2 linked regions of the Ovis aries genome follow. The protein of the gene in region 1 interacts with the protein of each later gene in a biochemical or structural test. Links are inferred from orthologs where the notes say so. Each region holds a gene or a part of one and is shown in the gene's direction. Other genes may lie near its edges. The genes, in order: APBA1 and CNTNAP4.

Region 1 (7,332 bases):
TAGAAAACTTTCCTATACCTTGTCCACAGTCACCATTCTCAGGGGTTAAATAAGAGGAAGCCACAATTTTTCAAAGAAGAATTGGTCTAATTTGTGTGAAGTGGGATTCTTGTCAAGGAGGAGAGCAGTAAGGACTGATCATCTCTGCTAAACCATAATTGTTTTCTAGTGAGTGTTAGTCAGTCAGGGATGGATCCATCAAAGAAGGGGGTAAAGATGGTAACTACTGCTTTAAGATGAACTTGGCAGCTCCAAAATGGCCTCCTTTACTACTGGGGCTATTATAGTGCTTGAAGGAAATTGCGATCCTTACGGTGGGCGTTGAGTAGAATATAATGCATCCTAATATTAGAGAGTCCATTAGATGTCCCTGGTCCTCCTGGAGCTTTCTGCTCTTACATTAAAGAGTTCATTTCCCAATTTTGTCCTTTTGTAAAATGAGCCCCCCAAAAGGACACTAAGGAAAGTTTACACACATTGAACCCATTTACCACAACTGCATTAAAATCATGGGGATCCTGCCTGTTTTTGTTGCTCTTTCCATCCCCTGCAATTATTCCCATACACTGTATGCAGATTATGCTATAAAGCTATTTTGGATAAAAAGAAACCAAAATACTAAATTTACCAAATACCAAATTTGAGAGTGGTTGAAACCAAAGCCACCTCTGCAGTCACAAGTCCCGCTGGAAACAAGGAAAGAGACTTACCCGTGTTTTAAAGAAGTTAGCATGTTATAAAGTGTCAGCTATAATGCTAACTTACAGAATCGAAGAATTTTAGATCCAGGGTGTATGAGGGAGCGACTATTAGAAATTAGAATATTAGTGTTTTAAGTGCAGTCGTCAGAACTCTGGCCTCTAGGGAAAAGGTGTTTCCCAGTCAGACAAGTTGGGTAACCCCTGCACCCTGCATCTTCCTCTCCTTGCATATTCACAAGGAAAGTCAACTTAAGTCAGCATCTCCCAAACTACTTGAGCAGGGAGCCTTTTTACTCTGCATAGTAGCTGTTAACATCCTGCCGCAGGAAATGAGTCCAGTCTCATGGTGGAGATTCAGAAAATTAAACCACTTAACGGTAGTTGACAGAGCCAGTAATGCCAGGATGAGAACCCACTGATGGCTGAAGCCTCCCTCAGAATGGCTGCATATTTGTACTGACAGCAATGGATTCAAAACATCCCAAGGCTTTTTTCCTCCTTGAAATACTCCTTCTCCCTGGCCCCTGCAGCATGCAGGATCCTAGATCCCCCACCAGGGATTGAATCCTTTCCCCCTGCAGTGAAAGCACGGAGTCCTAACCACGGGATCACCAGGAAAGTCCTTTTTTCCCTTGAAATTTATTTTAAAAAATAGTTTCTAAAGTATCAAGGATCCTAGTTTAATTTAGAGAGATTTATCCCTTAGCAGATGGAAAATGTGTCAATTGGCTCATTCAATTTGGTAGTACTCTCTATTCATATGCATCAGAAACAGAACCTGAATAGTAAGCGCGGTGGGGAACTTAAAGGCTCAGAAGGCTGTCGGTCTGAGGGGTGGGGAAGAGAGAAAGCCAGTAAGCAATGAAACAAGGAGACATGTAATTACAAATTACAACACGTGCTACGAAGATGATGAACTATGTGCTGTCAGCTTGAGCCTAAATTTGCAATCACTTTTTAATTGACCGCGATTCAGACGAGATCAATAACAGCTGTTTTTATGATTATCTTGGTACTCGGCTTCTGCCTACAGTCTGAATCACGTAATAGCCCCTCCCCCTTCTTGTTTTTCCAGCCGGGTGGAGCAAAATGAGAGCGCAGTGAGCCGGCCCAGCCTCTCTCCCAGCCGTCCCCGACGCCCACCATGAACCACTTGGAGGGGGCCGCGGAGGTGGAGGTGACGGACGAGGCGGCAGGCGGGGAGGTGAACGAGTCGGTGGAGGCCGACCTGGAGCACCCCGAAGTGGAGGAGGAGCAGCAGCAGCAGCACTATGCGGGTCGCCCCCGGCGCCGGCGCGCCGTCGAAGACCCTCGCGCCCAGCCTGGGCAGCAGCAGCAGCAGGAAGAAGAGGAGCGTGGGGAGTGCCTGGCGCGCTCGGCCAGCACGGAGAGCGGCTTCCACAACCACACGGACACGGCCGAGGGCGACGTGATCGCCGCGGCCCGCGACGGCTACGACGCCGAGCGCGCGCAGGACCCCGACGACGAGAGCGCGTACGCTGTGCAGTACCGGCCCGAGGCCGAGGAGTACACTGAACAGGCGGAGGCCGAGCACGCCGAGGCCACGCACCGACGCGCGCTGCCCAACCACCTGCACTTCCACTCGCTGGAGCACGAGGAGGCCATGAACGCGGCCTACTCGGGCTACGTCTACACGCACCGGCTTTTCCACCGCGGCGAGGACGAACCCTACGCCGAGCCCTACGCCGACTACGGGGGCCTCCAGGAGCACGTGTACGAGGAGATTGGGGACGCGCCCGAGCTGGACGCGCGCGACGGTCTGCGGCTGTACGAGCAGGAGCGCGACGAGGCGGCCGCCTACCGCCAGGAGGCTCTGGGCGCGCGGCTGCACCACTATGACGAGCGCTCCGACGGCGAGTCCGACAGCCCGGAGAAGGAGGCCGAGTTCGCGCCCTACCCGCGCATGGACAGCTATGAGCAGGAGGAGGACATCGACCAGATCGTGGCCGAGGTCAAGCAGAGCATGAGTTCGCAGAGCCTCGACAAGGCGGCCGAGGACATGCCCGAGGCGGAGCAGGACCTGGAGCGCGCCCCCACCCCGGGCGGGGGCCGCCCCGACAGCCCCGGGCTGCAAGCGCCGGCGGGGCAGCAGCGGGCCCCCGGCGGCGAGGCGGTGCAGCGATACAGCAAGGAGAAGAGGGATGCTATCTCGTTGGCCATCAAGGACATCAAGGAGGCCATCGAGGAGGTGAAAACCAGGACCATCCGTTCGCCTTACACCCCCGACGAGCCCAAAGAGCCCATCTGGGTCATGCGCCAGGACATTAGTCCCACCAGGGATTGTGACGACCAGAGGCCGGTGGATGGCGATGTAAGTGTGTGCGGGTTCGGGCTCGCTCAGCTCTACGCGCGGCCAGGTGGGGAGACGGGCGCTGGGTGGCATCATTTGTCATTAGAAATGACTTGATGACGGAAATGATCTCTGGGCATGCTCAGAAAGAGCTTGTGCTTAAGAGCCGGTGAGCGAAAACCAGGTGCGAAGGAGTTAAGTGCTGAGAGGTTGCGATAAATCAATGGTTCTCAAACTGTTACTGGAGCACTTGTTCAGAAATTGATTTCCAGACGCACCTCTTTCCATCACCTAGTTTCACACTTAGATTTGGGGCAGGGCCTGCGAATATTTATTTCTAACGTTAAATAAAAAACAAGTCTGGATTGAGGAAGGAGAGACTTCATTGGGAAGGTACTGTTGTAACAAGAACTCTTGCAGTAGCAGAACTGTGGGATCTGCAAGGGTTTCTGCTGCTGCTGAGTCGCTTCAGTCGTGTCCGACTCTGTGCGACCCCATAGATGGCCCCCTACCAGGCTCCTCTGTCCCTGGGATTCTCCAGGCAAAAACACTGGAGTGGGTTGCCATTTCCTTGTCCAATGCATGAAAGTGAAAAGTGAAAGTGAAGTCGCTCAGTCGTGTCCGACTCTTTGCGACCTCATGGACTGCAGCCTAGGGTTAGGCAGAAGAGGATTCTTTCGTAGGTAGGAGTAAGCAAGGCCTGAAAGGACAAGATGTGAGGAAGTGGGATGAAGCATGGCTTGAAGTACTGCCCTTGATAGTGTTTTAATCTGAGAACAGCATTGTCCCAGGAGGGTTTGGTGAGGAGGGGCGGTAAACTGGCAAAAGTTCAGGTACCTGGAAGAAGGTGAGAAGCTTAATCAAAGGTTGGTTAATAAGCATTCTGTTTTGACTAATCAGTTCAGCTAATCATTTCTCAGGCAGAGAATGGGAATTTGAGGGGTCTGTGTCTGGCCTTGTCATAGGTAAACAAAGGGGCACCTGTGAGTTACTCAAGTCTTACCAGAAAGAGGTTCTTTGCATAAGGCATATTCACAAATGAAATGGGAGGATAGGGGTCTTTAACCTTTGCTGTTTTCTGGGATCTCAGGGCTCACGTTAAGTTCAGCATTGTCACTTATAAGTTGGTAGGTGATGCTGATGGCTGCTGGTCCCAGGACCACAATTTGAGAACCACTGTCTTAAATCAACCCCTTAAAGGTTTAGGATGAATAGTGGCCTTTTTAGAGGAAATCAAGGAGATTCTTCTGGGCCCTTTCCAGCCAAAGGATGTCTACAGTTTGTTTCCTTTTTTTTTTCCCCTTCTTTGTGACTTAGTTTTCATTTCTGGTGGTACCAGAAGGAGCTTCTCACGTCACGAAAGACATGCTTTTGAACTGAAATTACTTTCTTGTGAAGAGCTACGGAAAGCTGTTGCTGCCTCATCGGCCTTTCACTTTCCATTTTTGAAATAACCAAGAAATTTGATAACTCGGCAAGCTTGGGTGTCACAGTCTACTCAGAAATAAATCAAGAAGGCTAACCTTTGCCCCCACTACCTGACTCTGAAGATTCTTTCTCCTCTGACTCTCAATTTTCCATTCTCTTGAATAATTTTTAAGCACTTTCATTTAAAATGGGAGCTTGGAGTAAAAGAAGGGTCAAGAGGTTAAATTTGGTTTCATTTAATTCTGTATTTTATGACTGCACCTATCTATTTCTGAGTATTTCTTTTGGAGTGAGAAACCATTATTGGAAGCTGTTTGTTCATTTTACTTTTAGGTAAAAGGCTGTGCAGGTCAGAGATGTCATTTGCCTCCTCTTTTAGTAACAGTCAACATTGGCTGTTAGCTGATTAAATCACAGGCACCTTTAAATCTTGGGCTTCCCTGGTGGCTCAGATGGTAAAGAATGTGCCTACCATGCATGAGAGCCAGGTTCGATTCCCAGATCAGGAATATCCCCACTCTGGTGTTCTTGCCTGGAGCATTCCATGGCCATAGGAGTCCATGGGGTTGCAAAGAGGCGGACACGACTGAGCAACTAACACTTAAGTGAAATTTCAACAAAGGCTGTTAGCTGATTCAGTCACCTTTAAGGCAGGGTTGGAACAGGCTGGAAAAGGATCTGCATCCTCCCCAGCCAGGGGGCGGCATTGGGTCAGTTCAGCCTCCTCAGTGTTTTCCCTCTGTAGTCCACGCTTCACATTCAGTTTAAAACAGGTGTGCTCCTATGCGGGATTCTGAGTGACCTCCAGTCTCTGCGGGTGTCTCCTGGCTTGGAGGGATGAAGTGCAGCTAGCATTTTTGCAGATGTAGTAGAAATGGAGCAGGCTTTTAAAAGCAGGGAGCTGGCAGGAGAACAGGTTCTAAGTCCTTTTAGAAACTTGGAAAGTTGTTGGGAAAAAGCCACAGGAGCATTCGGTACAGATGCTGGCCTCTTCCTTCAGCTTTCTCACCTATACCAGCTCCGTGAAATGACCTGCTGGTCCCTGCATGATGATGATGATGCACCACCTGGTCCCTGCAACCTGATGATGAACCCACCACATACCCTCCACTAGGGCTGGGGGCTTGCTTTTATCCATTTGAACTACTAAAACAACCCTCTTACAAGTTGTTTCATTCAGAAGGTAGAATTGATTTTAGAATAGTTGGTGATGCTTCAGAATCCTGTCTAGTCAGAAATTCAACTTAACACCAAGAAATTGGTGAATAGGGCTTTCTGAGTTATTAATAGTTAATACAAAGCAAACCCAAAACCCTGTGCCTTCAAGTAATCCACCAGTTGTCTTTAAACCGTCTGAATTTGTGGGTTCCATTTCATCTGTCATACCATAGGAAAGCCCTTCATTTGCTACCTCTTTGATATTATTATGGGGGAAATACAAGTGTATACATTCTGTTAGTTTCCACCTCAGCATCAAAAAATATTTACTGAGTGCTCATTTCATGTATGCTGTTGTAGAAAATGGAAAAGCACTATTAAAAGCACTGCGGCCTGAAGTCTTTCTGGAAGGTACTTGTTAAAAATGGCATTACTACCTTCCCTTTCCAAACCAGAATACCTTAGGTGGGGTCCAGTGATCTGTTCTTTGGGTTTGTTTTCCTTGCTTTGTTTTGTTTTGTACATTTTCCCTATGATTCTTGAGTATGTTTAAAAAAAAAAAAAAGAACCACTGATTTAAAAGACAAGTATCATGTGGGTAGTTTTTCCATGTAAGCCCCTGTGGATTAGAGACCTAGCTAAATCTCATATTAACATGGGTGTGGTTTCATGGAATGGTCTCTCCCACTCTGGTTATGGTCAACAGGCCTGGGGAAGGGGCGCTGGAATTCTTGTTACAGGAGCAGTGCATTCTCAAAATAGCATCATCAGAAACCGCAGTGGTGCAAATAGAAAGAAATAAAAACCACCTGTACTGCTACCTGCCAGAGATACCTGCTGATAGCTAAATTTGTTCTTCACACTACTTTTAATTCCCTCAGAACTTTAGCATTTTTCTCTTACTTGGAGGAAACTGACATCTGCTTGCTACTGAATCCTACAGAATGCGAAAATAGAACTGCTCATTAGCAAGGACTTACTGAATACAGACTAGATGCTCAGCAGTGAGTGGAAATAATTGTTTTCTGAAAAAAAGTACTTTATAAATGCTTTGCTTCTAGTAAAGGCTCTTTTCCAGGTATATGTTTGAGAACTACCTTCCAGTCCCCTTCTTGAAAATGTTGTTAATGAACGACTAGTTCCGAAAGTCCCACAGTCTACCCATCTCTCTCTCTAAAAGAAAAAAAAAATTTTTTAATTAGAGTATAATTGCTTTACAATGTTGTGTTAGTTTCCGCTTTACAACAAAGTGAATCAGCTATACATATGGCTTTATCCCTTCCTCTTAAGCCTCCCTCCCACCCCCCCCCCCTTCCCACCCTTCTAGGTCATCACAGGGCACCGAGCTGAGCCCCTCTCTCTTTAGGCAGCAGATTCACTCTGAGTAAAGAACAGAGTCGTGGTAGAATCAGAGACATGGGTAGGGGCAAGCACACATCATAAATGGCAGCGTTTGGGCTACTTGGAATTGTGTGTTGTGTGGTTTGAATTGGTGTTTATCTCTCCTTGCTCTTTAAGCTACGCTAAAGTGACAGTAAAAATAGTGAAAATATGTAAACCCAAAAGTGCCAGGAGACAGGAAATGGCAGCAGGTGAGAACAAAATTTTGGAACACCAAAGTGGTGGCTGGCTGCGGTAGACATTTGTGCCCCCAACCCCGTATTGCCAGTTGTTCTCTGCGTTCTAGCCCAGGGAGGACTGCCCTGCCCCCCTGATCCCCTCAGGGTGAGACAC
Region 2 (7,332 bases), on another chromosome or scaffold:
CCAGCGGGTTCTCCTGTGACTGCACCTCCTCCGCCTACGCAGGGCCCTTCTGCTCAGACGGTGAGTGTGACTCGGGTCCCCCCAACAGCAAGGCCGACCCAACGTGAATAAAGCCTCCAGCAATTCTTTTCTGTAGCTATTTAAAACAAGAATATTTCCATTCCTGAGCATTTTGGGGGGAGGGGAAATTGCCTATTTTATGCCCATGACATTTCATTACTTAAATATTTGCCTCAGTGTCTTTTAATGATAAACCTTCTAACAGTCGCCTCTAGTGGTATAAAGTGTCAACCGCTCCATCTGCTCTTTTCTATCTATTGTTAATGCTCTTAAATAATACAGGTGTCAACAGCCAGTCCCATGGGGGCAGTTCTCATTTTTAAAATCATTACAAGCGTTGTTATTTTTGAAGATGGCCAGCCATGCAAAGACATTTGGGAAGCCTTTTTGTTTGCACCAACAAATATTATTCAGCAAACAGGACTAGAAATAACTTTTCCATTGAGTATCGATGTGTGTCAAAATAGAGATACTCAGGCATCTTGTTCTGTGAAATGCCGACTTTCTGTTGGTGAAGTGAAACAGTGGACCGTTTTTCAGCTGGTCTTGTTCACTGATCCACGTCATGGAAGAAGGGAAAAGCTGAGTGTAGCACTTAGTGTTCTGAACAGATTTCTGTGAATAGACAAACATTTGCTACACCTTCATAGTTCCTCATAGAAAATTGTCATCCAATTTAATTCAGTTGCTTTACTTAAGTGTTTCTGGACTACTGAACCTTTACCTGAAGGAAACTAACGAAAATTGGCCTCAAACTGAAGCGATCCCTGCCTTGCAATGAAAACAAAGGGACTGTTTAAAGGAAAGTTGGCCAAAATGAACTCTTCAAATCATCTACTTTCTATCAGGAATAACATCGTTTAAAATCAACCTTGGGTAATCAACCACTGCTTCTGCCTTTCTATAATTCTCCTGTTTAAAGTTAGAACTAAGACCGTGTCTTTACAAGAGCATGTCTTCATTTTCTGAATCTAAACGATTTCCAGGTCATCTTGCAAAGTGTAACCAGAAATGTTATTCTGTACCCACATAGTATATAGGATTTAAAACGAATACTATAGATAGTAAAAATCAAACAAACAGACAAAACGCCTAAAGCGCTGAGTGGAGATGTGCATCCTTGCGCAGCACCTGCAGTTCGCATTCAACCACCGCCCTGTATAGTGAGGAAGGGAAGAGTTCGGGAATCCCAAACTAGTTGCCCTTTCCATCATCCTCTTCATTTTTATATAACTATATTTGGGTGTATGTGTGTGTGTGTATGAATTTAGGATATTAATCCTAAATAAATACTAATCCTAAATGAATAAATCCTAAGTATTAAAATCATTTATGTAAGTAAAATGATTTTTTAAAATTTGGATTTTTTTTAATTTGAAAAGTATCATAACTGAGACCACTGAACAATCCTTGGTCTTCAATTTTTTTAACATAAAATGTGCTTATAATTTCAGAGATTTCTGCCTATTTTGGATCTGGCTCATCCGTGATTTACAATTTTCAAGAAAATTACTCCTTAAGTAAGAATTCCAGCTCCCACGCGGCTTCGTTTCATGGTGACACCAGGCTGAGCAGGGAAACGATCAAGTTTAGCTTCCGCACAACACGGACGCCAAGCCTGCTGCTCTATCTGAGTTCCTTTTATAAAGAGTACCTTTCAGTTATCATCGCCAAAAATGGTGAGTGCTGTTCAAATGAGAGAAAATAGTATCAGAGCATTAGATCCATAATAATATGGATATTTCTCATGTTCTTGCTTCTCGAACTACAAACAGGAAAAAAATAAATGTGCCTGTTTGATTTATTCAGTTTTGTTTTTTCAGTGCTGTCCTGTAAATTTAAAAGGATTATTTAAAATACTTCAAATGTCTTTATAGCCTTATAGCTTTGGTAATGTAACATATTCTGTGTGAATTTTTAATTTACGTAGATAAAATATTTATTATAAATATTTTATATAAATATACAAATTTTATATATTATATATTTAAATATATAAATATATTTACATAAATATATAAATATATTTTAAATTATTGTTATAAAATTTTATTATTGCTAGAAAATCTTTACTGTTCCGTGTGTTTGTTAGTACCAATTTTTGGTTCATTTTGAAATAAAATGCCTGTTTGTACATAACAAATATTTCCTTCAAATCAAAGTAGAGAAGTTTTGAGCGAATGTTAGCCAATTAGCATTATGTATAAGAAGCTGTCCATAAAATAACCCCTTGGTTCTGATTTTCGGCAATACGGTGGTCGTGGGTAATGCTAATGCGCCAGTGCAGGATAATGGTGTGTGGTTTGGGACGTGTGTGCTACAGACACCCACTTACTATTGTTGTTCTCGTCCCTTTATCTGGGTTAGAGATAAAAAATTTTATGACTAAAATGAGGAAAACAAAGGGACATGCAAACATGCAGCTATATCATTTCAACTAAATCAAATATGGCCCAAGGGCACTGAACACCAAATTTTAAAAAATATTGTTCAATAAGTATATTCCTCCTCACAGTATATGTTTTGAGCTTGAAGTTTTTCTACATATATTTGTTAGACTGAAAGATATCCTGTGAAGTAGATTTACTGACATCTTTGCAGGCAATTAAAACATGAGTAGTATTAACTCTAACAGTAAGTTTGGTAAAACTATTCATCTCACCCTAATTTCATTCCAAACTCTATAACCATGACCACTTGAAAAAAATTCCTTATCTTTAGTAAAACTGTATTTGATAATAATAATTCCATTCATCAGTTGCATTTCAGGAATGGTAGGCATAATTTTTGAAAGATGAATTACAGAAACAGAAAGTTACTGCAATATTCCACAGTAGTTTGACATTTCATAATATATTAAACCTTATTATTTTAAGTCAGAGGCTAGTACAAAGATTTACATATGCTTAATTACATATTTGACAAATCAAATATTTGCAAGAAAGAGCCTGCTTATTTGCAGCATATTTGCTCTTAATTTTGGGAAAATAGTGCAATTTCACATGGAAACTGACTTCTAGGAATTATGATGAAAGTGTACAGCCAAATAAACTGTTGTGAATTCTTTCCCAGGAACTGGTAAGTAACAAAAAAGGACTCTGAGGGTTTTTTAAAGGAGTTTAAAAAAATACAATTTTAACTAAACTATAACTTTTCCCCTCTAACTTTAGGAAGTTTGCAGATCAGGTACAAGCTAAATAGATATCAAGAACCCGATGTTGTTAACTTTGATTTCAAAAACATGGCCGATGGGGAGCTTCACCACGTAAAGATTAACAGAGAAGAAGCAGTGGTCTTTGTGGAGGTAATAGAGAAAATACGACAGAAGCAGTGGTTACAAGTAAACTCCCCAGCATGACGGACCTGCAGCAGAAGCTGGATAATGCATAGATTAAATAAAGTCATTCTTCCAGTGCCGCCCTTACACAGATCATAGACCATCAAATGTGTTCAGTTTTTGTAGCAATAGGATTCTGTTTAAGAGATTAATAGTATTTGATACTTAAAATTGCCAAACTTTCCTATTTGTTTTACTTTGCTCAGGTGGGAAGTGCTTTTTAGTTGAGCGTAATCTACTATTGGCAGAACTGTTGCTACTCTAATGAAACCAGTTTACTTCAGATGGCTGTACGTGCAGCCATATTTCTTGCACAGAAATTAATGATCACAATTTCAGAATGAATTTTAAAACGATGTGAATTATAGCAGAGAAAGTTGAATTATTCACTCTACCAGCTTTTGAAGAAAAGCACATATGTTTCAGCCCTCTAGATAGAGGAAACTTTCTTAGCTAAATGACTCAAGTGAAAATACCCAGCTACGTAAAAATATCAAGGTGAAGATAACTTGTATCTTTTTGTGGGTTTTCTCCATTTGAATTTCTTATACAGTGGAGAAAAATAAAGTTATATAAGGGGATAGAAGGTAGCGTACACTGGTATCTGAGGGTACATAGAAGTAATTTAGAAAATAACATTCGCCTATATAAATGACTGACTTTAAACTCTGTTTTTCTAATCTTTGGGGCCATATTAACAATTCCCTATTTTATCATTTTCTTTTGTCTTCCTTTGCTCCTGTCCTCTTCTCAATGACACCATCTGTGTGGATATTTGCCTCTCATGTAACAATTCTGTAGCTTGATGAGAGCGTGAGGAGGCAGGTCCACCTGGCGTCAGGCACAGAGCTCAGTGCAGTCAGATCCCTTGTACTGGGCAGGATTATAGGTAAGTACGAGGAATGGCCTTTTGCCTAATCATGATGCATGAACATGGACCAGGAGAGTCATGTTCCAGATGCACACACACACACACACACACACACCACACAAACTCATCATGCCAAAAGAAACCGCTTGCCTTATTTCAGTTGTGAAGTGAATGATAATCAAGGCAGAAACTGTACTTTCTCAGTGTGTGTAATTGTGAGCTGGGACATTTTGTAAGATGAGCAAGCATCCTCCTTGAATAGTAACACCATGCTGGTGTCCGCCCTATGTCAGTCCAGCATAATGAAACATGGTCTCACTCTCACACTTCCAAAATATCAAATAATAAAGGTATAAATAACACACCATATATCAATCAGCTGCAAAACATATAAACTGTAATCTAATGATAGCGCTAGGATTAGGTCAGAAGAATATGGAGGAGAAAGCAACTGCCATTCTTCTGGTTAGTGAATATGCTTCAGGTTGTGGCCTGGATCCTTTCTGCTTTGTTGAAGGCAGTGGCCAGCCACTCCTCCTGACTTATAATATAACCCAGTGTCTGTCTAAATGCCTTATAATTCTTATTTCTATCCACCAGTTATCTCTGATAATAGCATGGAAATAGAAACATACTCTTGCCATTTTAGAATCAAAACGTGTGCTTTTTAAATACTTGCCAACAAAGACTAAATGGAAAGAGGGACAATAAATTTTAAGAGATTTTCTTTTTAGATATAAATGTGAGGTTGGAGGACTTCCTGTAGTCTGGTTTTCATTCCTAGTTTGATATTTGACATTAACCTGGAATATTTTGTCAAAGATAGTAAATGAAATATTTTATTTTTTGACCTTTTCCGGTACTTGTACCTTGATATATCATTTCTTACATTCCCTGTACGTAATGTTAGAATCTTGAGAATGCTTGATTAAACCTGTGGGTGAATGATCAAGATATTGGCTCTGAGAAGGTTAATACTTAAGTTTACAAATATTTATAGTCTTTCTAGCATTGTGAGAAGTGCCAATGTTGTATGCTCTTGTTCTCCAAACAAATAAAGGAAATTGAATTGAATTGTTCTTCTAGTATGCTAGGATGGACATGAAATATATGTGTAAACTACTACTTAGCTATCTGGAAGCTTAACTGGAAAATCCCAAGTGGTTTCATAGCATAAATCACATAAATTGAACTACAGTAATAAAAAATATCAAATAATTATAGTAAATTTCAATTTCAAGAGTTCCTCAGTCTAGCAGGGCCTGAGTTGAGGCATTTTATAAAAAATGTAAAATTAAAAGATTAAAAATTCTGACAACTATGATTAATGTTGATAAACCATATTTTTGAAGAAATAGCATCTTCAAACTTAATGCCAGATTTGCTGATGAAAATACTTTGTGTGAATATAAATATGTTAAATTTATTATAAAACAATTGGGAAACTGACCTGCATTCTATGAGGAAGATTGTATTAATCAAACAGTAGAATAATAACATTCATCATATAGATACTTGTTTCCCTTTTTATAATGAATATTGTAGATTAGTAAGGAATTAAAGATGTTAATGTTTTTACTCAAGAATAGCGTATTATTAAAACTCACATCACTCATGCTGAAAAACAAGATTAAAGTCCAAGTTCAGCAGTGAACTTTAGAGGCTGAATCAATTCATTCTCCTAAAAATGGAAGTATGAATTTATTGATCCTTAGGTGTGAATCTTGACCAAAGACTAACATTGCATTCAAATCATGTGTAATTCAAAGGAGACTAATAATTTATGGTCATATGGTATGGTATATGCATGCATTTATAACAAAATGTTATGTAGTATATTATTACATTTTAACATGCTACGTTAATTTATGGTAAAAATAGACGCTAAAATGGAGCTATTCGTTTTCCAGAGAGTTGGTCAATCTTGAGGTTTCTATGTTAGTCTCAGTCCCTCCAAGAAGCTGTTTTAATTTTAATTTTGTCAAGACAAAATTAGCCACTTGAGGGTTTTATCAAGGGGACACTTATGAAAGAGAACGTGAGGAGAGAGCCTATCAAGACTGCATGCAAGCCTGCCTTCCAGTGAAGGAGAGAGGGAGGGACAGTTAGAAGCATCCTTGACTTCAGCTTTGTGGGGAGCCAAGTCTTTTGGCCACCAGAGGAGCCTCGTGTCACCAGAGGGTGGGTGTGCCTTAGAGTCCCTGCTGTGGACAGCTCTTGCCTGGGAACAGCCGTGGGAAGCAAGGCCCTGGCCCAAGCCTGAGGATGAGTTTCAGAGCCCAGCACCTGGGGCCCTCAGTCGATTCCTCTCACCCAGTTAGAGGTCTGCAAGGCACATTCTCCTGGCCTCATGCTAACCAACTGTGGTTTTCATTTTTATAAGCCCATTTGGTTCCCTTATTTATTTAGCACATACACTGTATCACCTGCTGTGAACACAGGGAGTGCCACTCAGCAAGGCAGACGTTGCATCTGCCCACACAGAATTTATGGTTAGTGGGCATACAGATAATCATAATACACGATGTTCCTATGTATCTAATTGAGTGTAGTATGCCCTATGTTGCTTGGGATAAAATAGCTCCAAATTACCCTCCAAAGTAAAGTAAGTTAGCATACCGTGGGACCCCCCCCCCCCCCCCGGTGGCCCAGTGGCTGGGACTCGGATCTTTCACCTCCATGGCCCTGGGTTCAGTCTCTGCCAGGGACCTGAGATCTTGAAAGCTGCGTGGTGCAGCTAAGAAAAATAGTAAAATACTTATATCATTTTATAATATCTGAATATTTCTTTTAAGGGAGCAGAAAATAAACATTTTAGAGTTGTCATTTGCCTACATTTTCAAACAAACACTCAAGGATATGACCATCCACTGCCATTTCAGATGGACCCCAAAAATAAAGGGCATTCTTCCCCTGTTTTCCATACTCATTCCTTACACTTAGGAAGAATCATGGGAATAATTTTGGATCATTGTCACTATTAATCAGTATGACTAGCAGATGTTGAAAGGAGGGTAAATTTTAGAAATCATATCAATCTGACATGAAAACCATCTCTAACTTT

Evidence for each region.
Region 2: the proteins of APBA1 (region 1) and CNTNAP4 form a complex in vitro, tested with the Homo sapiens proteins (2 studies listed by BioGRID and IntAct, with this or other methods). The link is inferred for Ovis aries from reciprocal best matches to the Homo sapiens genes APBA1 and CNTNAP4.

The regions. Positions count from the first base shown.
Region 1 is NC_056055.1:67,169,598-67,176,929, forward strand, and holds part of APBA1 (amyloid-beta A4 precursor protein-binding family A member 1), read left to right. Parts: intron 1-1,776; 5' UTR 1,777-1,845; coding exon 1,846-3,033; intron 3,034-7,332. UniProt on the Homo sapiens protein: Putative function in synaptic vesicle exocytosis by binding to Munc18-1, an essential component of the synaptic vesicle exocytotic machinery. May modulate processing of the amyloid-beta precursor protein (APP) and hence formation of APP-beta.
Region 2 is NC_056067.1:3,160,479-3,167,810, forward strand, and holds part of CNTNAP4 (contactin-associated protein-like 4), read left to right. Parts: coding exon 1-60; intron 61-1,514; coding exon 1,515-1,739; intron 1,740-3,230; coding exon 3,231-3,364; intron 3,365-4,198; coding exon 4,199-4,286; intron 4,287-7,332. UniProt on the Homo sapiens protein: Presynaptic protein involved in both dopaminergic synaptic transmission and GABAergic system, thereby participating in the structural maturation of inhibitory interneuron synapses.